Callithrix jacchus: one gene and its partners. The protein of the gene in region 6 interacts with the protein of the main gene of each other region in a pairwise test. Links are inferred from orthologs where the notes say so. Each region holds a gene or a part of one and is shown on either strand. Other genes may lie near its edges. The genes, in order: ZBTB16, JOSD1, PUS7L, ZC2HC1C, EIF4E, TRIM27 and TBC1D22B.

Evidence for each region.
Region 1: the proteins of TRIM27 (region 6) and ZBTB16 interact in binary tests that used the Homo sapiens proteins (3 or more experiments, as listed by UniProt). The two-hybrid records come from large-scale screens. The link is inferred for Callithrix jacchus from reciprocal best matches to the Homo sapiens genes TRIM27 and ZBTB16.
Region 2: the proteins of TRIM27 (region 6) and JOSD1 interact in binary tests that used the Homo sapiens proteins (3 or more experiments, as listed by UniProt). The two-hybrid records come from large-scale screens. The link is inferred for Callithrix jacchus from reciprocal best matches to the Homo sapiens genes TRIM27 and JOSD1.
Region 3: the proteins of TRIM27 (region 6) and PUS7L interact in binary tests that used the Homo sapiens proteins (3 or more experiments, as listed by UniProt). The two-hybrid records come from large-scale screens. The link is inferred for Callithrix jacchus from reciprocal best matches to the Homo sapiens genes TRIM27 and PUS7L.
Region 4: the proteins of TRIM27 (region 6) and ZC2HC1C interact in binary tests that used the Homo sapiens proteins (3 or more experiments, as listed by UniProt). The two-hybrid records come from large-scale screens. The link is inferred for Callithrix jacchus from reciprocal best matches to the Homo sapiens genes TRIM27 and ZC2HC1C.
Region 5: the proteins of TRIM27 (region 6) and EIF4E interact in binary tests that used the Homo sapiens proteins (3 or more experiments, as listed by UniProt). The link is inferred for Callithrix jacchus from reciprocal best matches to the Homo sapiens genes TRIM27 and EIF4E.
Region 7: the proteins of TRIM27 (region 6) and TBC1D22B interact in binary tests that used the Homo sapiens proteins (3 or more experiments, as listed by UniProt). The link is inferred for Callithrix jacchus from reciprocal best matches to the Homo sapiens genes TRIM27 and TBC1D22B.

The regions. Positions count from the first base shown.
Region 1 is NC_133511.1:13,736,470-13,740,715, reverse strand, and holds the start of ZBTB16 (zinc finger and BTB domain-containing protein 16), read right to left. Parts: upstream 2,801-4,246; 5' UTR 2,632-2,800; intron 1-2,631. UniProt on the Homo sapiens protein: Acts as a transcriptional repressor. Transcriptional repression may be mediated through recruitment of histone deacetylases to target promoters. May play a role in myeloid maturation and in the development and/or maintenance of other differentiated tissues.
Region 2 is NC_133502.1:209,578,397-209,582,387, forward strand, and holds the start of JOSD1 (josephin-1), read right to left. Parts: upstream 2,801-3,991; 5' UTR 2,798-2,800; coding exon of another isoform or gene 2,661-2,797; 5' UTR 2,164-2,660; coding exon 1,979-2,163; intron 1-1,978. Other genes in the region: uncharacterized protein LOC144578143, read right to left, coding at 2,661-2,797, 3,248-3,563.
Region 3 is NC_133510.1:31,796,997-31,800,496, reverse strand, and holds part of PUS7L (pseudouridylate synthase PUS7L), read right to left. Parts: intron 3,367-3,500; coding exon 3,285-3,366; intron 1,345-3,284; coding exon 1,064-1,344; intron 1-1,063. UniProt on the Homo sapiens protein: Pseudouridine synthase that catalyzes pseudouridylation of mRNAs.
Region 4 is NC_133509.1:109,983,004-109,987,188, reverse strand, and holds the start of ZC2HC1C (zinc finger C2HC domain-containing protein 1C), read right to left. Parts: upstream 2,801-4,185; 5' UTR 2,673-2,800; exon of another isoform or gene 1,838-2,672; 5' UTR 1,819-1,837; coding exon 466-1,818; intron 1-465. Other genes in the region: ACYP1 (acylphosphatase-1), read left to right, coding at 3,038-3,200.
Region 5 is NC_133504.1:98,583,427-98,586,926, forward strand, and holds part of EIF4E (eukaryotic translation initiation factor 4E), read left to right. Parts: intron 1-1,826; coding exon 1,827-1,941; 3' UTR 1,942-3,500. UniProt on the Homo sapiens protein: Acts in the cytoplasm to initiate and regulate protein synthesis and is required in the nucleus for export of a subset of mRNAs from the nucleus to the cytoplasm which promotes processes such as RNA capping, processing and splicing.
Region 6 is NC_133505.1:2,088,337-2,091,836, reverse strand, and holds part of TRIM27 (zinc finger protein RFP), read right to left. Parts: intron 996-3,500; coding exon 880-995; intron 749-879; coding exon 716-748; intron 1-715. UniProt on the Homo sapiens protein: E3 ubiquitin-protein ligase that mediates ubiquitination of various substrates and thereby plays a role in diffent processes including proliferation, innate immunity, apoptosis, immune response or autophagy.
Region 7 is NC_133505.1:45,599,738-45,603,979, reverse strand, and holds the start of TBC1D22B (TBC1 domain family member 22B), read right to left. Parts: upstream 2,801-4,242; 5' UTR 2,654-2,800; coding exon 2,598-2,653; intron 1-2,597. UniProt on the Homo sapiens protein: May act as a GTPase-activating protein for Rab family protein(s).

The DNA of each region.
Region 1 (4,246 bases), on a different chromosome or scaffold from region 6:
AACACACACACAACCCACACACTAACTTGGGTCATTTCTATCCACGGAAGACTCAAAGTTATTGAATATGTAATCTAAAATCTGGACTGTTTGTATGCGTATATGTACATCAGCCAGAGACAAAGAGAAAGATGTGTGGGGCTGGGCGGCAGTGGCTCACGCCTTTAAGTTCAGCACTTTGAAAGACCGAGGTGGGTGAATCACTTGATGTCGGGAGTTCGAGACCAGCCTGACCGACATGGAGAAATTCCATCTCTACTAAAAATCCAAAATTAGCTGGGTATGGTAGCTAACACTTGTAATCCCAGCTATTCAGGTGACTGAGGCAGTAGAATCACTTAAACTGGGAGGTGGAGGTTGTGGTGAGCCAAGATCACGCCATTGCACTCCAGCCTGGGCAAAAAGAGTGAAACTCTATCTCAAAAAAAAAAAAAAAAAGTGGGTGTACACACACACTTACATAAGGTGCTGTACCTACCCTCCTACCCATAACTGAGCAGTGGACAGGAGGATCTAAAAAACAAAGAAGGATGAGTCATTAAGGTATGGAGAGAGCCGGTAGTAAATATGCGCCCCTACAGCCAGGAGTGCTCATGCTGGGCTGGGTGTGTGAACTCCACGTGTGTCCCACAGGCTCCAAGGAGTCTGCAAGTCCTGTGACCAGGGGCAGCAAGGGATGCTGGCCATGGCTCAGAGGCTCCGGACGTGGTATTGGCACCAGCATCTGTGGTGTGAGTTATAACCAGTACGAAGGGAAGACAGGGCTGGGAAACAAAGGCCTCTCCCTGAGCCTGTTCAGGATCAATAAGAGGGCTCCTGTACTCCGAATCCCGCTTAAGGAGTGTTAGAAAGACCGCCCAGGCCCAGGGCCCTCCCCGTGTCTGCCTTGCAGCGGCCAATATTGCAGTGAATGAACTGGGAGCAAGGAACAGCAAGGTCTCTCCCTCACTCTTCAAACACTGCTTACTTGCCTCCACCCCCAGAAGGAGCTCTATCAGTTCAGGAGCCTCCACGCTCACACAGAAAGGATTCACAGGACGCCTGATCAAGACACTTTTGCTGCCCACCCCGGGGTGGGGATGGAGGCCGCCAAGGGTGGGATGACCATTCAGCCGAGCCTCTCCACCTCGTGCTTTCCCGCAGACATCGGGACTTCTGAAAACTAGGAGAGAGCAGCCAAAAGAATGGATGCTTGGCGCCCCAGAACAAGCCGTTTGGGTCCTGAGGGAAATCGGGGCACCCTCAGGCAGCCGTCTTCCCCACCCACCGCTCAGCGCCTGCGATCTGGCCGGAGCTGGCTGCAGCGTCCAGCCGGGCGGCGCAGGGAGAGCCGGCGCTAACCCGCCAGAGCCTCAGGATCGACTGCGCTCTCACACGCCCCCAGTTCCCAGCGACCCCCACCGAGAGTTGGAAACGACTTCAGCAAACTTGGGGAAGCAACTTTTCCCGAAGAGCTAGACACCTGAAAGAAGGAGAGCTGAACTAGGGGCAGGGGAAAGCGAAAGAGACGGGGAGGAAAAGCCACAGCCCGGGCGGGCAGGACTACGCGGCGGCAGGAGGCGGACCCGCCCCGCGGCGAAGGGGAAGCACAAAAGCCCCGCAGCGAGTTGTGGGAGGAAAGGCGAGAAGGGGTCTGCCGGCCCTCCCTCTCCGACCCAAGGCCGTGACCCCCAGGAGGGACCGGCTGGGTCCCGGGCCTCGGGCCAACAGCGCTAGCGGCCGGCGCGCCCGGCCCAGGCTCGGTGCGAGCGGCTCGGGAGCCGGCGAGCGAGTCGGTGCGGAGCGCTCTGTGCGTCTCGGTGGGTCCGCGGGCCGGCGGGACCGTGCGCATTTCCAGCGCGTGCGGGAGTGTGCGAGGCGCTGTGCGAGCGAGCGGCGGGCGCGCCAGGGTGGGAAAGGCATCCCGAACGCATCAGGTGCAGAGCCTGGCACCCACCGAGAGCGGCCGGGAGCGCACGGCGAGCTCCGGCGTCACCGCCCGTCCCGCCGAGAGCCGAGGAGGGCCCGGAGCGCTGGAAACCCTCTGGAGCTTCCCTCCCTCCCCTGCAAAAGGGGGATCAAGTCTAATCAAGAAAAAGCCCACCACGTTTTTTCAAAGAGAAACAAAACGTAAGCCGTCCCAGTCCTGCTCTCCTCCGCCCCCGCATCTACTCGTCAGCTTCTCCAATTCTAGCTTCCCAGCCGGCCGGCGAATAAACACACAAATAAATAAACCACAACCTTATCTCGCGCCCGCGCACCGGTCGGCAAACATAAGAGCACCCACGGGCTCTGCTCCTCTGCCCGCCCCTGGCAGTACAAAGCCTCCAGATCCCCGACCCTCTGCTCACGCCCTCAGCCCCCGCAGACCGCTACGCCCCCCACCTCTCACCCCGACCGTGCCCCGGAGAGGAAGGGCTGCGGAGGCAGCTGCGCCCAGGCTGACAGCCGGGGCTCCCCCTTCCAGCCGATCCCCAACCGGTGGTGGCGACGGCTGCAGCGGCAGTAAGGGAACACGCCAAATAAAAAAGGCACAAGCCCAGCGGCCGAGTGGCCGAAGCGAGCGCGCGCCCCCCAGACCTCTCCAGCCCCGGGGGGGCTCGGCGCGCGGCGTTCGCTGGGCGGTGCGCCTCTCCCCGGCCCCTCACTCACCGCAGCCGAGCCGGGCACTGTGGGGTGGGTGTGCGTGCCTGTCGGGGGGTGTGTGCCTGTGTCGGGGAGGGGTGTTGCTGGGGAACTGTTGCTCTCCGTATCACGGCGGCAGCGACGGCATCGCCCGGCAGTTCGCAGTACCCGCTCTCATCGCCCTCAACTCCTCTCTGCTGCGAGGTTAGCAAATCACCACCGGCTGCTGCGCCTCCGCCGCGTCCCACGTCAACGCCGAGCCCCCTCCCCTGCAAGGCCCCGGCGCCTCTCCATCTTTAGTGCTGGCGGCCGAGCCCGGCTCCCTGCCCACAGCTGCCCCCCTTCCCTCCCCCCTCCCGCGCCGTCCCCGGGCTCAGCCCGCCCACCACCCCGCACTGGCCAAGCCCGCGCGCGCTCCCCGCCCCACCCCTCCTTTCCCCTCCCCTCCCTTCCCCGCGCTCCGCGCTCCGGGCTTCGCCTGACATCTAGCTGCTGCTGGGGCGCCGGCGGCCGCCGCTCACCGGCCGAGGAGAGAGAAAGCAGGGAGCTAGAGGACAGGAGTGCAGGGAACTCGGAACCCTTAATGGGGGCACCGAGGGTGAAGGGCGCGCAGCAGCCCCCACCTACTCCCAGGATTTTAATTTCTATCGGATACGGGTTTGTGCCCCCTCCCCCGCACTCCGATGCTCAAGCACGCAGTTTTGTCCCCTTTTCCAATCTTTGCCCAATTCAGTGCGTGTCATCTCGCCTTTAACTTTCTTCCTCTTGGCTCGGGGCTGCGTTCCCAGGGGCCCCTGACATCAGTTTTAAAAGGCCGCTTTCCTAGCCCAAGCCTGGGCTTCCCATCCTTCTGGCTACTGCGCGCCTCCCGGCTTGAGCATCCGGATTTCAAGAAGTCTCCAGATGCAGAATTCGCGGGCCCTGGTGAACCTGGTGCCATAAGGTCCGCTGGGATCTACTGTCGAAGCGACACGCCCCTTTTTAGATGTCGCGGTTGCTGGAGGCCAAGGTCGAGTCCTGAGAAACTTTTATCTCTCCTAGTCTTGGACAACCTCTCAGCTCTGCCCCCCCCCCCCCCCCACACACACACACACACATACAGAGCAATCTGGGTGGAAACAGTTCTCTAGAACTGCCCCCAGCTCAGCACACAGTCTTCAGGGGGCAGGGGAAAGCTTGGAAAAGCTCTGGGCCCCTCAGAAGCGCGTCCTCCTCTCAGCTGGCCGCCCTACTTTAGAGGGTAGAGCAGCCAAAGAAAATGTACCTTTCCTTCCTCTGCTCATGTGAAGGTAAAAAAAGGGGAAAAAATTTTTTGGAAAATAAAAAAAGAAAATGTACCCTTCCTCTGACCGCAGAAAGCTGCTGTCCCCGCTTTTCTCTGGAGCTGAGTGAAGATAGGGGGCCAGAGGCACTGGCTGTGGATTCTGACTGAAGCCTAGGAGGTTGGGGTGGGAGGTGGGGGTGGCCGAGAACACCATGCAGGGGTCTCAGGCTAGTCAGCCCTCGAGGTCACGCGGTTTTAGCAAGGTGGAGCTTACATCACCCAGGCCTAAGCTTCCGTCCATGACTCGTGGGTGGGCCAAAGGTTTTCCGCAGGACTCACCTAGAATCACATATCCATGCTTGCCTCTGGCATTGCTGC
Region 2 (3,991 bases), on a different chromosome or scaffold from region 6:
AGAAGTAGGAGAAATACTAACGGCTGGTCAAAAGAAAGCAGTCCAACGTACTGGATCCTCCTTTCAGTGACATGATCTGATGATCTGAGACAAACGATCTTATCTCCCACACCCCAGGTCCTGCAGAGTCAACTCTACTTGCTGCCAGATTATGGCCGTGATGCAAACAACGCATTTGCTCAATGCTAAGGCATTACTCTGGTTACTACTGGCATTGGAAAATAATTACTCTCATTATAGTTTTGTCTGCATATGGGGATTAACATTCTTTTAAGAGTAGGCCTCTGGCTCTTTCAGGGCAAATGATCCGTACCTGTGTTTTTACAAATCACCCCAAATAGATTGCTTCCAGCTGTAATTCTGGTCCCTATGTGGCAATAACTTCATTTACAAGCTAAGAGAGTAAGAAAAACGTCTTCTGGAAATGCCAATAAGCACTGCTCAAAGAATGCTTGAGCTTTTCTGCAATGAGGACTGAGTGGGCCTAACCCTTTCTAGTTGGGGTCATCAGGCAACATCACCACCAGAGTTGCTACGGACCGCAGACATGCTGTTGTGTTCATCAAGACACGACATAAGTGATTCTCAAAACCTTTAACAAAGCAATTCTAGAAAATGAGAGCAGGCTATAATCCCAGCACTTTGGGAGGCCGAGGAGGGTGGATCACGAGATCAAGAGATCGAGACCATCCTGGTCAATATGGTGAAACCTCGTCTCTACTAAAAACACAAAAATTAGCTGGGCATGGTGGCACGTGCCTGTAGTCCCAGCTATTCGGGAGGCTGAGGCAGGAGAATTGCTTGAACCCAGGAGGTGGAGGTTGCGGTAAGCCAAGATCGTGCCATTGCACTCCAGCCTGGGTAACGAGCGAAACTCCGTCTCAAAAAAGAAGAAAAGAAAATGAGAGCAAAGAGAATAAAGCTGAACTCTTTTTTTTTTTCCCCAAGACCTGTCACCCAGGCTGGAGTACAGTGGTGGGATATTGGTTCACTGCAACCTCCACCTCCTGGTGCAAGTGATTCTCCTGCCTCAGCCTCCCGAGTAGCTAGGGCTACAGGCATGCACTACCACACCCAACTAATTTTTGTATTTTTAGTAGAGACAGGGTTTCACCATGTTGGCCAGACTGGTCTCAAACTCCAGGACTTAGGTGATTCCACCCGCCTTGGCCTTCCAAAGTGCTGGGATTACAGGCATGAGCCATGGTGCTTGGCCAAAAGCTGAACTATCAACCTGTGGAGTGCCATTTGTTCTAAGTGGGTAAGGAAGACCATCTAGAATAAAGGAAAAAGAGGAGGGGATCCAGAGTCAGCTTCAAATTATAGCTTTGCTATCTATTTAGAAGCTATTTGAACATATTACCTCACCTTTCTGGCTATTTATCAGTAAAATACAGGCAGTGAGATGAATGCTAGGAGGGCTACACAAAGCAATGTACGAAAAGCCCCACTGCCAGCACCTGGCCTCACAGAAATGCTGAGCACTGTGTACACATCTTGCTTGTGGTATCCCCCAAATTCAACCTTTGATGACAGGTGACTGAATGGATCTTGTCCCACTTCTAGATCGTAAACTCCCCGGCAGGAGAACTTTAGAGGCATTAAACCTAGTGGTCAACAGCGTACTTAAAAGAATTCAACCCAGCTCCAAGTCTTGTTACCTTGGGCAAAGTACTGAACTAAATGCTGTCTTCATCATTAAAATGGAAATAACTCCAGGTATTAACATGTCTTCCATGGGACTGCTGAGCAGATCACTCAAGAAAACAGCAGAGGCTATGAGCATTGTGCTTAGCCCACAGTACGTGCCAGATAAATGGTAGTGATTATCTTTTCCTGTCGCGTGTCCCTTACACCTGCTAATGGCATCTAGCTAATACGTACAGACTTGAAGGCCGATGAAGCTGAGATATTGCCCCACCCACAGAAATCCAGAAATATCAGTAAGTATCAAGATGCCAAGGAGAAGGGTCCCTACCTCTGGAAAATCTCTTGCAGCGTATCCCGGGTGAAGGCATTGCTGTCCTGGAAGACGTTATTGAGGGCGTGGAGGGCACAAAGCTCCCTGCGCTGTTTCTCATGGTAGATTTGTGGGGGTGCTGCCTGGGGCAGCTCCAATGATTCAGATTTGGCCTTGTCTCCTTTCCATGGCACACAACTCATGTTTTTTCTTTTAGGTTCCAGAGATGGCTAAAAACACCCCACTCTTCCCTCCAGTGGAAGAATGTAAGCTTCTCAGTCTTTTCAGGATTCCTGAGGTCCACCTTATTCTCTGGTGTCCATGATTTATGCTTTGTCACTGGGAGAAAAGATTGGAATGAAAAGAAAAAAAAAAAAACCCACCTCTTCTCTCTTCTCAATAGAAAAATAACTTTTGGATTAGTTTTATTTTGCTACCACTGTCAAAGTGCAGAATTTAGAAAATTAAAAAACACATAAAATCTAAGACCTTTTTTCCCTTTCCCCACCCTTCCCTCCCACCCCTCTCCAAAAACCCCACGATTTTCTTGCTGTTTCCCTCTGCAAATGCCAGGCCTCAAAGCAGGAGGACCGAACACAATCGGTCACATCGCTCCTTTTCTTCCATTTCTTTCGAACCACGACGCCACTGATTCGGGAGACAAGGCCTGGGTGGCTGATAAAGCGCACGAATCGAGCAGCTAGCGCGGGCCCGCGGGCGTGGGATCGCGGGCCGCGCGGGGGCCTCGGGGGCAGCCCTCCATCCCCTCGGGTGCGCTGGGGCCCGCAGGACGCGACTCCCTCGGAAGGCGCGGACTCTCGCCCTCTGGCCGCGGCCCTGCGAAGGAGACAACTCAGGTCAGCGGCGAGCGGGCGCGGGAAGTGCGCGGCGGGGCCAGCCCCTGCCGGAGGGAAGGTTCCGCGCCGCAGCAGCCAGGCCCGCGAGGGGTGGGGCCGCAGAGTCCGCCTAGCGCTCCAGGGCTCCGGCCCGCCCGGCTCGCCGCCCCCACCCCAACCTCCCGGCCCGTCACGTGAGCGCAGGCCCGGACGCCCTCCCGCCGCGCCCCCGGCTGCAGCCCCCAGCGCCCCGGGGATTGCTCGCCGCCGACCGCCCCTCACCGCCGCCGGCCTCCACCTGGAGTGCGGGCCGCCAACTGGGCCGCGCGGGCGGGCGGGCGGGCGCGCGCACCTGAGCCCGACGTCAGCGGCCCCCTCCCGGCGCGTGCCCCGGAAACGCCCTCCCGCTCCTCCCCGCCGTGGCGTCACGGATGACGTCATCGAAGCCTGCCTGCGAGCAACGGATGCCTGGCGAGTCCCGGCGCCGATGAGGGTTTGGGCTGTTGCAGGGGCCTCCGGTGTTGGGCTGCGGAGCTCGGCGGCGGCCGGCCGGGCCGGGGTCTGGCGGCTCGGCTCGGCGCCGTCCCAGGAGGGGCGGGGCGGCCTGAGGGAGTCCTGCCAGAACGCCCGCCTGCCCTTCTCCCGGGTGTGGGCGTTGTTCCGGGGCGGCCGTCAGACCAGCAGCTACTGTCCGCGGCTCTGCGCACCCCTCCCCTCTCTGGGCCGGGCTTCTCGGCCGAGCGGTCCTGCCCTCCTGCGTTGACCATTTTATGTGTGGCTAACGCGCTGCTCACCAGGGGGGGATTGCGAAGCACCTGATTCGGTCGAGCGCAAATTGACTTGTTTAGTGCGCCCGACCGCGCCGCGCTGTTCAGGGAGCGCCAAGGGTAGGTGCCTCGCTGGAGTCACATTTCAAGTGCGAAGGAGAATCCTGTTGCAGTTCCTTAGTGTCGCATTTGGGTTCAGTACACACAAGCCACTGTCCTCTTGCCTTGGGGCTCCCCGCTCTTCTCACTGTGGCTTTCCTCTCTGCATAGACCTAAGCGCATTGTGTGCGTTGTCGGGAAAACGCTCAGTCGCACCTGGATTTCATTATTTTTTCTCTTTACCTACTCTTAGGGTAGTTTCCCTCCTTTTGGGTTTTTAATAAAACTGGAAAAACAGGAAGAAGTCGCACTTCAAATTTAGTCTTTAT
Region 3 (3,500 bases), on a different chromosome or scaffold from region 6:
AGTTCTCACTACAGACTATACTCCATGATTTTTCTAGCAGAGACCAAAGTGAGCTAGGGGTCAGGAAGCTGGGTCTTTTTAATTCCACTACCTGTGTGACTCTGAATATGTCTCCTCTCCAAGCTGGGACTCAATTTTCATTTCTATAAAATGGGAATTTTAAAAAGTATATCTCTAAAATCCTTTTCTTCTATAAAATTCAATGATTTTATTATGTTATATATGAAAATATTATCCAAATTTTCACTAATTTTTAAAATTTGTGAGACTGACTTATGATAAAGTTAGAGAATAATAATTTGTTCTTTTGCATTAAAGTACTATCAAATGAAAGCCAGTTTCATTAGTTCAAACCCACAGAGATAAAAACAATCAGACAAGGAGGAAATGAAAGGATCATATTTTATAATATAAATTATAATTGCACTAATATAAATGTCTCTAAGACAGAGGAAATTATGAATACATTAAACTACATTTATATAAAAGAAATACACACATCACATGTTCCGTATACCATTATAAAAATCATATTCTTTCTCCTCTCCATATTTTAAGTTTTGAGCCAATAAGTCCTACCTTTTCTTTTCTCAGTGTTAACTAATAGAATAAAAATCAATTTTTTATGGATATTTATGTGAAAACATAGAGAAAGGCCTAGAAAGACACATAACAAACAACAGGGGTTGAGTCTCCGGAGGAAGCAGAGGGAATCAATTAGGATGATAGCAGGGATGGCAGCATAATCTGTAATGTCTTCATTTTTGTTTTTAAGGGCTGTTTTGTACATTGTTTGTGTAATCTTTTTTAAATGTGTTTTTCAAAGGAAGCTTTACTACCTATATATCTTTCACTCCATACCACTATTTTTATCTTTTCATTTACCAACACCTGTTAAGCCTAAACTGACAGCAGACTTGAAGCAAGAGATGAGTAAATATAAGTAAAAATAGACAAATAAATTAAATATATGTTGAAAGTGTTTCCATAATCAGGGCTTTTGAAAATTCATGTTTTTGGTATACTAACTACTCTTAGAAAACTCTGATGAAATGATACTTACTTTACTACTTGGGAAATTCTCGTCATCAACATCTTCATCCAAACAGACTAAATCACCCTCCACTACTCTTGCTCCATAGGTTGCAAGTCTGTAAGATACTGCTTCATTCCAAATTTTGCTAGTATATGCATGAACATAAAATATGCGCATGGAATGGGGTAAAGAGAACCATGCCTGGATACAACCTTCCTCTGTCATGCCAAAGCGATGCAATGCCTCCAGCAATGCTCTCTCCCGCACTTTGAATTCAGGCATCAATGAAAGTGTGCCTTTAGCATCCTCTGAAACAATGAGTAAATTGGAAGTCAGCCACATTTTATTTAAAGGCCAGTTACAAAGGCTTTTGTTCTACTCTCAAACTGAGGCAATGAACATGGTTATTGAGATGATATTCAATACTTTCAGTTAAACCTAGCTACACTTGAAGAGCTTCTTTTAAAAGTAATAATAAGCATAATATGGCCCTACTTTCACTTTCCCTGCTATTAAAAAAAAAAAAAGCAAGAGTCCAATATTAGCAAGTGCTTACTAGAGTCCCTTACTTCAGAATAGAGATAAACTCATGAAGTTATTCACAGGACTGTTAAAAGAAAACAAACAAAAAAACCTCAAGGATTACATAATTTAATTGCTTACCTAGTAGAGGCTACAGTTTTTAAAAGAGCTATTCTGGACATAAACACGAATTTTTTTTTTTTACTAAGAAAGGGTTGAGATCTGGAGCCTTCAGGCACACTACTATACCTCACAAAATGGGATGCACTTTGAAATGTAAATTACTAGAATCTACCCCAAAGATGCTTATTCAGGTAGGGCCTTGGAATTTGCATTGAAATAAATGTAGCAGGTGTTTCTTATGCATATGAATGTTTAAGAATCATTACCATAAGGAAATTATCTTCTAGGGACTCCACAACAGACACAAACAAGTCACTTTGAATTTTCCTTAGTACTACCTAAATTACTCACAACAGTTAGAAGTGCCTACACTGTTTTACACATTGTGGAGTGGCACAAAAATACTGCTTTCCTGTGAATAACTGCACACATGTAATATGTACATAATTAAAGATAACAAATAAATATTTGAAAACTGACATCCTTTATTTCAGTGTAAGTGAAATTCAGTATGTCAGTCAGATATCTGAATGAATCTGAAGTAGTGTGGTTGCTGTTTTTAATTATTTAAATAAAGGTAATATTTATCCATATGTAGTACATGCGAGGCATTATTCCAAGAACATTACATCCATTTTCATATCTAAATCTCCTAATACTCCTTTAGGTACTGTGATTTGCTTCAATTTACAGATAAGGAAACTAACAAAATGACGTCAAATCACTTGCACAAGATCACACAGTTGCGAAATATTAAAGTGAGAGTTAAACCCATGCAGTCTGACTCAAGCCACACTCATAACAATGTTCCTTAGTGGTTTGCATCAAGCATCCTATATATATTCGATCATATTGGCCTAAAGTTTTAAACACTGACAGGGCTAATTGGCAAGTAGATTGAAAACAATTCATAAAGTTTGGAAAATCATAAATGAACTTCTATTTATTTAAGTTTGCATCTCCCCAGCTGCAATTAATTATATTGCCATCAGTGCCAGATTAGAATTTGGAACTCTTCTGTCTTCAGAGGATTTCAGCCAAGAAAAACAAAGAAACTATTTCTCCCACTATCACTACCCCTAAACAAGAGTTAGCACAGACAAAAAAACTTCCAAATCTGACCAAAAACACAAGTGTGTAAGTCATATAATGAAATTATTCAGTATGTAACATACTATAATCTATTTCTTCCTTTTTTTTTTTTTTTTTTTTTTTTTGAGATAGAGTTTTGCTCTTATTGCCCAGGCTGGAGTGCAATGATGCCATCTCAGCTCACAGCAACCTCCACCTCCTGGGTTCAAGCAATTCTCAAGTAGCTGGGACTACAGGCACATACCACCATGCCCGGCTAATTTTGTATTTTTAGTATAGATGGGGTTTCTCCATGTTGGTCAGGCTGGTCTCAAACTCTTGACCTCAGGTGATCCACCTGCCTCAGCCTCACAAAGTGCTGGGATTACAGGCATAAGCCACCACACCCGGCCCACTGTAATCTATTTTTTTATCACATTTATGTTATAATAAATGCTCTCCTCCTGATAAAACATTTGTAGTGTGTATCTGTATCTGCATGGCTATGTATGGGATAAAGAAACTTAAATACCAGTTTGAAGATAATACTTCTTTGCTCTATTTACAGGATCATCCAAGTCTTCTGGTGTAAGAAACAATTTTATGGCTTTCACCTTGAAAAATCAAGCAAATAAACATGTGTTAATAAAAATGTCAAATTACTTTTTTAAAAAAAGATGCAAATTCTCTAGCATCCTAAAAGAATAGGCATTTAATAAATTATACTTGAAGCTACAATCTTCTCTTT
Region 4 (4,185 bases), on a different chromosome or scaffold from region 6:
AGATCCTAGTCTTGGGAGGTGGCAGAATACATTGCAAAGAGTGAGGAGTTCTCTCCAGGTAACGAAAATGCTGCATTTTTCCTTTTTGTGTCCTTTAAATTTTCTACAGTAAACGTTTATTACTTTTATAATCCAAAGGGCACAAATTCTAGGTCTAGATTTTTTTAGTCATTCCAACCAAGAGTTAAATGCTGACCCTGCCACTTAAAGCTGTTTGTGACCTCAAGCAACTCACTTAGGCTATCCAAGTCTTGATTTTTACATTGATACAATGAGAGATAATGAGAGAATCACATGAAAGCTCCCATCACAATGCTGGCAAACAGTAGTAATCAAGAAATGTTAATTTTAGATGTCAATTCTTCCTACATGATACATGAATTTTCCCTAAAGAAAACTGATGACGACATAACAGACCCCTACAATGATCCCCACATCAAGTCACATCCATAAGGCTCTTGTTACCTTGGCTGAAGCTGGCCCCTTCCAGTTCAAGTACTGCTCTAGTTCTGTGCCCTTAGCCCGGGCCCTGGAGGAGTCGAACACTTTCCTCTTGGACTCCCGCATCCTGCTGCAGACTGTGGAGTGTCTCTCCAGCCTGAGCAAGAGGAATTTGCGCCCACAGTGGCTGCACTCGCCCAGTTGTGGCTCTTCAATGGAGCCGCCGGACCCTGAGGAGTCTGGTGCCATGGACAGGCTGGAATTTCTGGTGGATCCCTGCAAAGAACCGCCTGGTGTTTCTAAAGGCGGAGAGAACTTCTCCATCGACGGCTCTGAGACTCGGTCTCGAATTTTGTTATTGCTTGCCACCAGCCTTTCCCTTTTGAGCCTCTGGATTCTATAATCAGAGAGCTGGAATGGACTCGAATTTTGTTGAGACCATCCCCAAGCTTCATCCTGTCTCCTGTCTCTACCGAATTCTTCCTGAAACTCAGAGTCTGGGGAGAAGATAGGTTTGTACATGGTGTTGCTATTATTACCTTTAACTCTTCTCCTGGGTAGCATAATTTTCTGTAGCTCTCTGTTTTCATTTTCCTTGGCCTGTTCCTTTTGCTTCTGGATCTTTCTGAGTTCCTCCTCTGTCTTCTTCAGCTTTCCCCTCAGAAGACTCTGCTTCCTCCGGATTTCCTCCTCTAAGTTCTCTCCTGCAGCTTCTAGTCTTCGGATCTGCACCAGCTCAGTCCTCTCGAAGTTTACCGCGGCCCTCTCCTCCTGCACCGCAGCAAGAACAGTACCAGTCACGGAAAAGTTGACCTGGTCCCTCACACCAGGGTTGCTGGATGAAAACGCTCTCAGCTCAGGGGGCCTTGGGTAGACATTCTGGTCCCCATCCATGCCAGCCTCACCCATACTGCACGACTTCCGATGGACCACAGGTTTCAGTGGGTACGCCCGGTCCACCCCAACTCGTTTCTTTGTCAAGGGAATAAAGTCCTGGTTATTGGCTTTGGGATACCAGGATTGAGGGCCTGACGAGTAAAACGAACACTTTCCTTGGCCCTGGGAATCACTTCCTGGATCTTGCTGGCTGATTTCAGTACAGTGGGGATAGGAGTAGCTCCGCGCTTTTACGTGTGTGTTCCATTTGGGGTGAGGGTAGACTTTATCCAGCGTCAACTCTTTGTTGCTCAAAAGCTTCTTCTGGAAACTGTTCCTCAGGTGCCCCTTCAGGGACTGCTGGGAAGAGTCACCTTGTTCGGAAGAGTCACCTTGTTCGTAAGAGTCTTGCTTGGCTGAGTGGGGCCCTGGAGCTTCTGTTGTATTATGTGGGAGCATAACGCCCACAGGCAGATGTGAGGCCAACTGGAGACCAGCCATTCAGGGCCTGGACTGACGCCTATGAGAGATTTAAACCAGATACATGGGAAGGGTTTGTCTGAGATTCACTCTTGGCTGCTAAAGCAAACTATTTCTACATTTGCCCTGCCCACATTTCCTGAAACTTTTCTAGGGACAGTGGTGCTCGATCTGCCAAAGTTTCCCTTCAATAAGCATTCGGTGAGTGATGATGATGCACAAGACACTGTGTTAGGCCCTGAGGATAGAAAAAACGAAGGTGCCACAGGTGTTTCTACTACCTGGCTTTCTTTCCTCCACCACCAGCCTCTGCCACGCACAGTACACTCTATAGTAGGTGGAAAAAGCATCGGATTGAAAGTCAGGATTTAGGCTTGTAACAGCACAAGTGACTTCTGCCTTGCTGGGCCCTGTTTCTTCACCTGTAAATTGAAGGGCTCCCTCCGAGTCCAGCCTCGCCATTTTGCAGGTGAGACAGCTGTGCCCCAGAGGTACTGAGTGGCACAAAGAGCTCTCAGGTCTTCCCTCCTACTGGAACCATGCTTGACTCCAAAGAGCACAGAGGCTGCTGGGTCCTGGAGCAGGTGCCTGGCTGGCAAACCCTCATCCCAGGAGTCCCCGTGGCGCAGACGGTAAAAGTTTTGTAATCTGAGCGTTGAGGCCACCTGACCTGGCTGCGGCCTGTTTTAGATCCCGAAGGCTGAAGTCACGTTCTGTCACGAAGGGTCAACTGTGGCGCCCCCACTGCGGACTCCGCCTTTGGGGACAAGCCCTCTCGCCCTCCTGCCCTTCGGGCCCTTGGGAAGTGGAGGTACTGACCCCAAGTCTCCCCGCCCTTCTGCATACCTCAGGCCCTGCGTACCCAGAACTTGTACCTGCGAACCGCTCCTGCTCAGGGGAACCCCCAGGCCCCAGTTTCCCAAATCTGACCTCCCCCGAGACCGACGGCCGCGCAGGCGCTCTCAGCTGGGCTCTGTTATTCCCGGTGCCTGGAGACGGAGTCACTGGCGCGCCGAGCCCCGCCCCTCGCCGCGAACTCCTCGGGGAGGCGCGCGCAGGCGCCGTGCACCAGCGACCCCAGGCGGCCAGGGGCTGGGGTGCGGTCAGTCCGGGCGTCACTTGACCCAGTGTCCGGCCAACTCTGCAGCTCGGTCCAGCCCTGCCCTTGGGGAACAGGGGAGGGGCGGGAAGAGTCTTTCTGGGGCTCCATCAAAGAAGAACTTGTACTTTACTGAGAACGATGCTCCCAGACCCTGGGGTGTGCCTTTCTCGGGCAAAGGGCGGGGGCCCTGGCTGTGCCCCCGCGTGTTTCCGCCGCAGGATGCAGGCGTCCGCCCGCCTGGCGGGAGCGGGGCTGCTGCTGGCCTTTCTCGGCGCGCTCGGCTGCGCTGGGCGGGCCCCAGGTATGGCTGCACGCGCGCGCTCGCTGCTTGTCCTCGCCAAGGCTTTGGAACTTGCTGTCGACGTTTTTGCTACGCTGTATCTTTCCGGGGTAGCTTTTGTGGCCAATCTAATTATTTTGATATTATAATGTTTTACTCTCACGTGGTAACTCTGGCCGTCTCTACTTAGGGCCCAGGAATGACTCAGCCAAATGTAATGATGATAAAGTTAACTACCAGATGAAAAATAATCAGTATAACCTGGTTTCAACACTAAATGATACTCTATAACTTGTTGACATCAAAAGAAGGTTTATTTTTCTTCGTTTTGGTTCATCTGTGTAAACCGTTTGGAACAGGCAGTTCACTTATTCCCTGTAACTGCTCAATTCATGCACATGGAAAATAATGTAGACAGTAGTCATCAGTGTTAATACTTCACATTACAGCTGTTACATGTTACAAAGAAATTCCTTGGTGGACCCTCCAGGTCAGTCCTGTTTTTGTTTTTGTTTTTAATTCTTCGTTTTCATCCCTAGTTGACTCCACCGCCTCTCCATGTGTGCAGCCTCTCCATGTGTGCAGCTTCAGACACTCCCCACTCAGGGTCTGCCCGCGGCAGAATTTACCAGCTTGCCCCTCTCTCTCTCTCTCTCTTTCCCACCCCCTTCCCTCTCCTGTGAGAAAGAAGGGCCATTTTCTTTCCATGAGCTCTCTTCTCCGCCTCCCCGGTTCAAGAGATTCTCCTGCCTCTTCAGCCTCCTCAGTAGCTGGGACTATAGGCACAGGCCAGCACGGGTTCAAGAGATTCTCCTGCCTCAGCCTCCTCAGTAGCTGGGACTATAGGCACAGGCCAGCACGGGTTCAAGAGATTCTCCTGCCTCAGCCTCCTCAGTAGCTGGGACTATAGGCACAGGCCAGCACGCCCGGCTAATTTTCGTATTTTTAGTAGTCTTGACTTCACGATCCACCTGCCTTGACCTTCCAAAGTTACAGGCAGGAGCCA
Region 5 (3,500 bases), on a different chromosome or scaffold from region 6:
CATTTCATGCTGTATAGGGTTCACTAAGAGAAAGGAGTTGATCTGTCATCATATTTTAATGTTTCTGCCAGCATCAAAACCCAATTGTGGAGGTTTTACTTTATTTTAAACAAGAATTAGAGAAATTAATAATTTTTTTTCTATGGAAGTTTTGTATTTTTGTCAATATTAAATGCTTTTGAGTCTATATTAAGACTTCAGATTTTCAAAGAAAGATTCTTTTTTTAACCCTTCCAATTTGCGTTAGTCTTGCTTTCTGGTGTTTTCAATAATTAAGTATAATTCAAAGGAATGCATTGCATTGTAATGCAAATTTAATAATTATCACTTTACCATAAAATTTCTTTTTAATACTTTATTTTAGGGGGAAGGTGGTAAATCTTTTGGAAGGTATGAAAAAACTATCTTAGTATTGTGTTGGAGGATTTAACTCCATTAGTATGTTTGTTCCGTGATTGATTGATTGAGACAGAGTTTCATTCTTGATGTCCAGGCTGGAGTGCAGTGACGCAATCTAGGCTCACTACGACCTCCACCTACCGAGTTCAAGTTTGCCGCAGCCTCCAGAGTAGCTGGGATTATAGGCATGCACCAACATGCCCAGCTAATTTTGTATTTTTAGTAGAGATATGTTGGTCAGGGTGGTCTTGAACTCCTGACCTCAGCTAATCTGCCCGCCTCCGCCTCCCAAAGTGCTGGGATTACAGGTGTGAGCCACCACGCCTGGCTATTCCTTTATTTGTATTTGATATTGCTTATTTTTGAATTTTTGCTATATTCCTTCCCTCCTTTTTTTTTTTTGAGACAGAGTCTCACTCTGTTGCCCAGACTGGAGTGCAGTGGCACGATCTCAGCTCACTGCAACGTCTGCCTCCTGGGTTCAAGTGATTCTCCTGCCTCAGCCTCCCAAGTAGCTGGGACTACAGGCGCATGCCACTACACCCAGATAAGTTTTTGTTTTTAGTAGAGTTGGGGTTTCACCATCTTGATCTCCTGACCTTGTGATCCACCTGCCTTGGCTTCCCAAAGTGCTGGGATTATAGGTATGAGCCACTGGGCCAGCCTTATTATTTTCTTAAAGATTCAAATTTTTAAGGTGACATATGAAGCTCTCTTCCTCTGAAAACTTGTCAGCCTTATCTCATATTCACTTTACTTATGAGCCATAGCCACACAGTCTAATTTTTATTTCTCAGCTCTCAGATGTGCTCATTCTCTTAACATTATCCTTTTGACCTCATGATATTTAAAGGGGTGACTTCTCTAATTTTGTAGATGAGATTAGAATCTCCTTGTTATACAGTATCACAGCCCCTATATTTACTCTTTGGCACTTGTGACAAGTGCCATTTTGTTCTTGGAAACGTGTGCATGAGTCACGTCTTACTTGAAAATTAGATTGTCAAGTTCTAAATTAAATAGATTAATTTAGAACATAATTTCTAACTATTGCATAATTTCTAATCTATGCAATATGTTCTAAAAAAATATTGCATTTTTAGTGGGCTGGGTGTGGTGGTGGGTGCCTGTAATTCCAGGTACTCGGGAGGCTGAATCGCTTGAAACTGGGAGGTAGAGGTTGTAGTGAGCCGAGACTGCGCCATTGCACTCCAGTCTGGGTAACGAGCAAAAATCCATAAATAATGTAATTAACCAGGAATATTGCAAAAATGGAAGAGTAAATTATGCTAAAAGAGTAAATTATGCTAATTTCCTGTTGTACTCTCAAGTCTGTATTTTATAATATAAAGACTAATAACACTAAATTTTTAAATTTATTTACTTGTGAATAAAAATTAATGGCTACTTTTTTTTTTTTCTTCTAGGAGGGTATACAAGGAAAGGTTAGGACTTCCTCCAAAGATAGTGATTGGTTATCAGTCCCATGCAGACACAGCTACTAAGAGCGGCTCCACCACTAAAAATAGGTTTGTTGTTTAAGAAGACACCTTCTGAGTATTCTCATAGGAGACTGCGTCAAGCAATCGAGATTTGGGAGCTGAACCAAAGCCTCTTCCAAAAGCAGAGTGGACTGCATTTAAATTTGATTTCCATCTAAATGTTGCTGAGATATAAGAGAAGTCTCATTTGCCTTTGTCTTGTACTTCTGTGTTCATATATATATATATATTTTTTGGCTAGAGTGTCCACTATCCCAATCAAAGATTTACAGTACACATCCCCAGAATCCATAAATGTGTTCCTGGCCCACTCTGTAATAGTTCAGTAGAATTACCATTAATTACATACATTTTACCTATCCACAATATTCAAAAAACAACTTGACATTTCTCTACTTTACAGGAAAAAAATTCTGTTGATGTTCTATTGTATGCAGGAGCATATTTTGCTGTTTTGAAAGATTATGATGCATACAGTTTTCTAGCAATTTTCTTTGTTTCTTTTTACAGCATTGTCTTTGCTGTACTCTTGCTGATGGCTGCTAGATTTTAATTTATTTGTTTCCCTACTTGATAATATTAGTGATTCTGATTTCAGTTTTTCATTTGTTTTGCTTTTGTTTTTTTCCTCATGTAATATTGGTGAAGGATCCAGGAATATGACACAAAGGTGGAATAAACATTAATTTTGTGCATTCTTTGGTAATTTTTTTGTTTTTTTTGTAACTACAAAGCTTTGCTACAAATTTATGCATTTCATTCAAATCAGTGATCTATGTTTGTGTGATTTCCTAAACATAATTGTGGATTATAAAAAATGTAACATCATAATTACATTCCTAACTAGAATTAGTATGTCTGTTTTTGTATCTTTATGCTGTATTTTAACACTTTGTATTACTTAGGTTATTTTGCTTTGGTTAAAAATGGCTCAAGTAGAAAAGCAGTCCTATTCATATTAAGACAGTGTAAAAAACTGTAAATAAAATGTGTACAGTGAATTGTCTTTTAGACAACTAGATTTGTCCTTTTATTTCTCCATCTCTATAGAAGGAATTTGTACTTCTTATTGCAAGGCAGTCTCTATATTGTGTCTTTTGTGGTGTCTTCCATGTGAATAGTATAAGTTTGGAGCACTAGTTTGATTATTATGTTTATTACAATTTTTAATAAATTGAATAGGTAGTATCATATATATGGAATTAAATTGATGTGGCTATCTTTGTTTTTTTTATAAAGTAAGGCACAGTCCTTCAGTCTTAGGTAAATAATGTACTCTCTTAATATGTTAATACTCATGAGAATTGGGATCTGACGCATCACCATTTGATTAGTGAATTGAGTTGTTTGTATGTAAGTTTCAAAATGATAGTATAGGGAAAAGACAGGTGGTGGGGATGTATGCATTAAGAATTTTGTTGGTGTTGCAATCTAAATCGAATGGAATAAACAGGTATTAAGCCATTTATAGTGATAAATTGTTGTAGTATGGTATTCTGTAAACTCGAAAACTTGATCTACTATTTGTAGGTATCATTTGAAAACAAACTTGAAAATATTTTGTACATAGTACATACTTGTATAGTGCTGTGAAATGAA
Region 6 (3,500 bases):
GATTTCAGAATCCACCAGACTGCCCAGGAATTTTAGAATTCAATATATGGCCAACCCTTTACTGAATGTGGATCGTGAGCAGAAGAATTTAAATTTGGAGAAACTTCTCCAAATGCCTAGAACACCTTATTTAATAAACTCACATATGGGACTTATGTGTCTAGTTGTATTCTACAAGTGTTAGAAATGTAACCCTATTCTTGTATCTTAGGAGGTAAGAACTATTATTGTCCTCATGTTACGATGAGAAAACTGCCTGTAGAATCCTTACTAAGTGGTACAGCTGGGCCCAGAGCCCAGGCGGCTGGACTCCTGACTGCCCGCTCCTAAGCATGTGCCCGTCAGCACGGCTCAGTTCCTCCTACAGGAGCTGGCGCTTGTGCCCACAAGCAGTAGGAACTCAGTAAATTACAAAGATAAATACTGGCTCAAGTAACCAGGACAGATTTTGTTCATACTCTTTCCTGAAAAATCAAATTAATTGTGGATTAATTTTTGGGTGGCTGATTTTTTTGCCTCCATCAATGCAGACTGAGAACTGACTAAATACAGTTAACAGGCTGTTAACTGAGAAAATTAAGGCCACAGGGAAGAAGTGAAACATCAGGGAAGGCTGGCCAATGGGTAGCAGCCTTATCCCATTTTCCGCACTTTCAGTGCAGATGTTCTTTCCAAGCAACTTTACATCAAAAGCCCAGGAGGTAGATAAATTTACCTTGGATTTTCTCCATATCGGACTGCATTTTTTCTAGGAAAAGAAAACAAGAAAATATTCAGTTTGCATCCCACTATCTGGCTGGAAAATATATCTTTTCATCAGGGAATATGCAGACATTGAGTATAAATCCGTCTCCCTCATGACATCTCCCCGCACGTTACCTGTGAACTGCTTTAGCCCTTCCGTCAAGAAGAGACATTTTTGGGCAAAAATGTGGATTTTCTCTTGCAAATCTGGAGGCGTGATCCAAGGTTCAGGAATCCTGATTCTTTCAGCCCTAAATTGAAAAAATGTGAGTAAATAAATTATTTTCCTCAATTCCATGACCTTCTAAGAACCAGGACTGCCTAAGCTAAACTGTCCAGCACAGATGGACAGTCTTTTTTTTTTTTTTTTGAGACGGAGTTTCGCTGTTGTTTCCCAGGCTGGAGTGCAATGGTGCGATCTCGGCTCACCGCAACCTCCACCTCCTGGGTTCAGGCAATTCTCCTGCCTCAGCCTCCAGAGTAGCTGGGACTACAGGCGCACACCACCATGCCCAGTTAATTTTTGTATTTTTAGTAGAGACGGGGTTTCACCTTGTTGCCCAGGATGGTCTTGATCTCTTGACCTCATGATCCACCCGCCTCAGCCTCCCAAAGTGCTGGGATTATAGGTGTGAGCCACCACGCCTGGCCTGCACTCATTCTTATAACCCCCAAAGCAGGTAGCTCACAGCTTTCCAAATATTCAGTACCCAGAACAATTTACTGAATTACATACGAGGCTGACTTTGCCGGAAAGCACTAATCTTTGATATTTATGGTGGGCAATTACCCCGAATTCTCAGGTTCCCAAATACGGAGAGAATGGCATGTTCAGACAGAAAGGCACTGTGGGGGACAATACCCAATTCCCTTGCCCTGCAAGGCTGTCTATGGCAAAGACTGCCAGTTGGCCACCCAATACCCCTTCTACCACCTTTCACCTTTAATGGCTCACAGCTGCCCAGTCCCTCATCGCTGCATGTGACCTAGTGACTGAGTTCCGGCCTATGAGAGGTAAGATGCATCTCATGGTGTTTTGAGAAGTCTGCTTAAAAAAGTAACATGACTAGGAACAGTGGCTCATGCCTGCCATTCCAATACTTTGGGAGGCTGAGGTGGGAGAACTGCTTTGAGGCTAGGAGTTCAAGACCAGCCTGGGCAACATGATGAGACCTTGCCTCTACAAAAAAGAAAAATGAAGAAAAAAAAGTAATGTCATGTGACTTATCTCATTCCTCTTGTGTGGCTTTCTACCAGCTACTGTGGACTCCACAAGAACCACACCTTAGGGATGGTAGAACAGTGAATGGGAAGAAACCTGAGTCTCTGAGGATCGCTGCAGTTACCATACTAGTCACAGGCTACCTACCTGCACATTTCTCTTTTTCTGAGATGGAGTCTGGCTCTGTCGCCCAGGCTGGAGTGCAGTAGCGCAATTTCACCTCATTGCAAACTCCGCCACCAAGTTCAAGCAATTCTCCTGCCTCAGCCTCCCCAGTAGCTGGGATTACAGGCATGTGCCACCATGCCTGGCTAACTTTTGTATTTTTAGTAGAGAAGGTGTTTCATCATAATGGCCAGGCTGGTCTCGAACTCCTGACCTCAGGTGATCCACCTGCCCTGCCTCCTAAAATGCTGGGATTACAGGTGTGAGCCACCGCGCCCAGCCTGCACATTTCTTTTATGGTAAGAAAAATTTTATCATGTTTAAGCCTTAAGCCAATAACATTTTGGGTTTTCTATCTTATACAGCCAAATTCAATCTTTAATGTCACAAACTGCTATGGTCCGAGGGAGCTAACTGCGTATGTTAGGCTGGAGCTAGACTGGCATCATGAAGTAGCAGGTAACAGGAGATTTGCTTGGGTCATGTGGCTGGGACTAGTATAAACTCCACCACTCCATCTTAGGGTCCCTCAGGAACCTCAATTCCATCAACGTGATTCTATCAACACAGGCCTCCCAGCCCCATCTATAAGGCCCTCCCCCATATCTTTAAATGCTCCCACATAGTCAAGCTGTATTTTGCTTTAGGGGGTTTCACTATTCAGGGTCTTAATCACCTTCAAAGTACAGCTCCCTCAAAGTCAGGTTCCACCTGGAAGGCACTTCCTGCACCAGACATAAGCTTCCCAAGGACCATCCTACTCGCCTAGTCATCCTTCCTGCAAATACAACTCTGCCCTGGCTTGCTGCCCCCTTCAAGCTCTCCCTTTCTGGTCATGTCCAGCTGCCAGGGAGCTCTTCCTCACTTTCTTTTTGATGGAACAGAGAATAGCAAAAATAAGAGCCAGAATCCAGGTGGCTCATCCGTAATTATGTAAATCTAGGTCAGTCACACCTTTCTTAGGCCTTATTTCCCCCGTTATAGAAAAAAAGAGAGAAAGACAATGAAGGGGGAAAAGACTGTGAAACGTGTAGGAAGCAACAATCATAAACTACCCTTATACTCAGCCCAGGTCCCGGTAAGGCTACACTCTCTCCATGGAAGTGTCCTCATATCCCTAATCCACCAGCAGCCGCCCACTCCCTGAATTTTACTGAGAAGAGCTGTGGTTCATATAATTCTTTGCATACTAGTGACTCTTTTCAGGGATACATCAATTTGATAAGATGCCCATTCTCAGGCTCAGGGCTCTTTTCAGGATTCACAAATGTGAAGGAGACAGTCTTCTCATATTTGATTTTTTTTTTTTTTGAGATGGAGTTTCGCTCGTTACCCAGGCTGGAGTGCAATGGTGTGATCTCGACTCACC
Region 7 (4,242 bases), about 44 Mb from region 6:
GCAACCTCCAATTCCCGGGTTCAAGCAATTCTCCTGCCTCAGCTTCCCAAGTAGCTGGGACTACAGGTGCACGCCAGCACACCCAGCTAATTTTTGTATTTTTAGTAGAGCCGGGGTTTGGCCAGGTTGGCCAGGATGGTCTTGATCTCTTAACCTCGTGATCTGCCCGCCTCAGCCTCCCAAAGTGCAGGGATTACAGGCGTGAGCTACCGTGCCCGGCAAAAGTTCTCTATTTCTATGTACTTATTTATTTATTTATTTAGAGATGGAGTCTTGCTTTGTCTATTTATTTATTTAGAGATGGAGTCTCCCTTTGTCACCGGGCTGGAGTGAAGTGGCATGATCTCGGCTCACTGCAATGTCCACCTCCCAGGTTCAAGCTGTTCTCCTGCCTCAGCCTCCCGAGTAGCTGGGACTACAGCGCCACCACACCCAGCTAATTTTTGTATTTTTAGTAGAGACGGCGTTTCACTATGTTGGCTAGGATGGTCTCAAACTCCTGACCTCGTGATTTGCCCGCCTCAGCCTCCTAAAGTGCTGGGATTACAGGTGTGAGGCATTGTTCCCGGCCCTCTCTCAATTTCTCCATATTCTTCAAAATGAAAAGGGAATCCAGAAACTTGAGGAAACTGAAAAGACTTCTCTTCCTATCTCAGAAAAGTAGTGCTTTTAAAATGTTGACTCTTCTATAGTCAAACACAGGAGATATGGGGAAAAAAGACTGTTAATAGCAACCACCAGTCAGAAGGCAGAGAAGGCCATGCCATGTCGCACATCTCTTACACTGCTTCCTGATACAAGTTTTCCTATTGATTCTGATTATAATCTTAGGATGTCAAAATTTAATGATCTCACTATGGAAAATCCCAGAGAATAGCAGTCAGCACAACCAGAGAGCTCACTAGACCAGGAAGGAAAACGAATCAGCTGGCAGGAAGTGGTGCTTACCTAAAGACATAGAACATCTTTAACAGTAATATTAACACTGTAAATCCACAGCACTTTAATCTGAAGTTATCTTTGCATTCCTATTATTTTAATAAATATTACTAAAAGCTGATTTCCACCCTATTCTCCATATGTCTAATAGGATCCTTAATAAAATAAGACTTGCTGGGGCATGGTGGCTAACACCTGAAATCCCAACACTTTGAGAGGCCAAGGTAAGAGGATCACTTGAGGCCAGGAGTTACAGACTAGCCCTGGCAACATTGTGAGTGAGACTTTGTCTCTATTTCATTAAAAAAAGAAAAAATTAAGGCTCTTATCTAGCCACTATTGACCCACATTTCTCTCTTGCTTAAAAATAAATAAATAAATAAATAAAGTCTGCTGGACACAGTGGCCCACACCTGTAATCCCAGCACTTTGGGAGGCTGAGGTGGGCGGATCACAAGGTCAGGAGTTCGAGACCAGCCTGGCCAATATGGTGAAACCTCGTCTCTACTGAAAATACAAAAATGTGCCAGGCATGGTGGCGCGCATCTGTAGTCCCAGCTATCCAGAAGGCTAAGGCAGGAGAATCGCTTGAGGCTGCAGTGAGCTGAGATCACACCACTGCACTCCAGCCTGGACAACAGAGACACTCCGTCTCAAAAAAAAATCACGAGTTCAAAAGATGATCTCACAAGGAAAAAACCTGAATCCACTAGAAAAGGTAGCACGTGGGGCACAACCAAACATGAATTTCATCACCAAGTAGACTGTGGCTGGCAGAAATCTTAAATTCACGACTGAAATACACACTCTACTTTATACTTCTCAGGACTCTCCCCAAAATAAACTGAAACAGTAAACCAATAGATTGATGGATGGGTAATTTGCTAAAAGTCTCAACATACACCAAAAAAGGGGTGGGGGGTAGTCTGAGGAGGTCTGCTCTCCAGCGAAACAACTGAAGAATGAAAGAATTTAGTACATTTGCACAAGAAGAGCATTACAATGCAAGGAAGGAAGAAGTCACTTGGGGTTGGACAAATCCTTAGAAAATGCCAAAGGAATAACCCTGATTCTGTGGTCGCCTTGTATTAATTCCTAGTGGGAAAGGGCCAACTCAAGATAAAGTAAGGTCAGGCTTGAGAATTGTCCTCACTTTTCTTACCTAACCCTCTCGGCAAGAAGCCACAAACTCACACCAGAATCCTTCGGGTAATTGTCCAGCTAGGGGAACAAGGGAAGGGGCCATCCTCAAGCAAGCAACCACCTGTGCGTGGTGGAGACCACTGAGAGGGAGTTCTGATTAGAGTGGGAAGCAGCTCTGGGGATGAACCTCCGAGACCAGGGCCGACACTGACTTATCTCCCAACTCCACTGCGGGTTACGCCCAATCTTCGGCCACCTTCCAGCTGAGGTCACCCCTCCTGAAACCTCCGCCCCCAGACCCCGGTCTACACCCACATCCAGCCGTCCCCAAAGCTCGCTGTTCTCTCCTCTGCCTGACAGCTGCTCTGCAGCCACCAGGCAGCCCCAGTTTTCCCCGCCTGGCTTCCCCAAACCAGTCTTCCGGCCTCGGTGGCGCCCCAGGCCCGCGGGATTAGGGATTAGGATCTGGAAGGGTTTGGTCCAATCCCCTTTCCCTCTCAGCGTCCTGGGCTCACCTCCCCGGCAGCTTAGCGCTCCTCTTCCAAAACTGCTTGCTGTTCTCAGCGGCCATTGCTCTGGCCGGGGGAAGGCCTTGTAGGCGGGCCAGGGGGGTTGCCTGGAGAGATGCCCCCAGACCCCGCAATCTGAGGGCCAACCCAGGCCGCTTCCCCGCTGCCGGTCACCCACTCCCAGCTCCTGGGGACGCCATCTTGGATTTGGGCACCCCTCCACCCAGCGCCGCTGCCATTGGTGGGCTGCGCAAGCCGTGGCCGGGCCGGCCAATCAGAAGCCGGAATCCTGCAAGCCACTGAAGCCAACGGGTAACGTCAGGGGCAGGGCATACAGGTGGACGGGGAAGGCGGAGCTTGAAGGAGCAGAGAGGCGGGGCTCAAAGTTCCTGCCCTCGAGAGGAAAGAAGCAGGTAAAGTAAGGGACCTAAGGAATGGAAGAGAGGGGATTATTTTCTTCGTGAGGAATGAATTTCCTGAATCTAATATTTTTTGGCAAGGGCGAGATGTATTTATGTATAGGAATCTTTAACCTAAAAGTAAGGGCCCATGTGTTGATTGTGTTCCATTTTTAACATCTCTCAACTCAGGGACACTCTGGTTATTTACCCTCCCCTTCCTCGTTCCGTTTAGATGTCCGTTCGTTTTTCTGAAGGAAGGTCATCAGGGATCCGATAGCCCGGGGTTGCTAACGGTTCAGCACGTGAGCAACAGTTCATCAGAGTCTCCCTCTCGCTCTGTTTATTGAAAACGATGGAAGGAATTGTGCTGTGGGTGAAAAATTCAAATTATCTAATCCCGATGTCAATTCATAACTCTCACTTTCTGACTATGCTAACAGTGTATAGGAAATGGTTTATGATAGCCGTCCAACTCAGATTACCAAGTACCATTTCTCTGAAGGACACAGTATAGCTCCATCGTGTGAATCACAAAGTTAAGGATACATCTCCTCCTCACCCACCAACATCCTTAATTTCCCTTGTTAATCTATTATAAATCTTGCATCCTTGGATTTATTTTCAATCTAATTTTCACAATGAGATTTAATATTAGCATTTAAAATATCTTGTCGGTGTTTTTTACTGTTTTTGAGTTTCTATGGTTGTATTCCGTGGTGATTTGGGGAGAGAAAGCAGGCACCAGTCTAGAGTGGTTTTTGTCCCATTCAAGGACTGTTGAGGTGGGCTGCGTGTCCCCCACCCCCTCACCCACCCCCCATTCACAGCTACCACATGTAAGTCCAAATATTGGAGAATACTTGAAGACCTGATCCCATGGGTCCTTCCACACATTGGAGAATGCTTAAGGACCTGAACCCTGGCCCCAGCCAAAGAAGGACCTTCTTTATATGTCCTCCAGCTCCCAGTCACCCCTCTATTCTTTTAATCATTTTACCTGCCTTTCTCTGGCGCTTCTTTTTCTTAAGATGCAGTGACCCACTGCACACAAAACCCAAAGAGGAATGTACTAAGGCTTTGTTAAGGTGGATGTTTTGTCTGTATTCTGGACAGCCAGAACTTTTGCTGGCTGTTTGAGCTTTGGAAGAGTTGATGTCTTGAAGTAATAATCTAAAACAACTTCTAGATTCCTTATCCTGGCAACCAGCAGTTCAGAGTTTATTGTCTTAAAGGTATCCTCTGAATTGTCT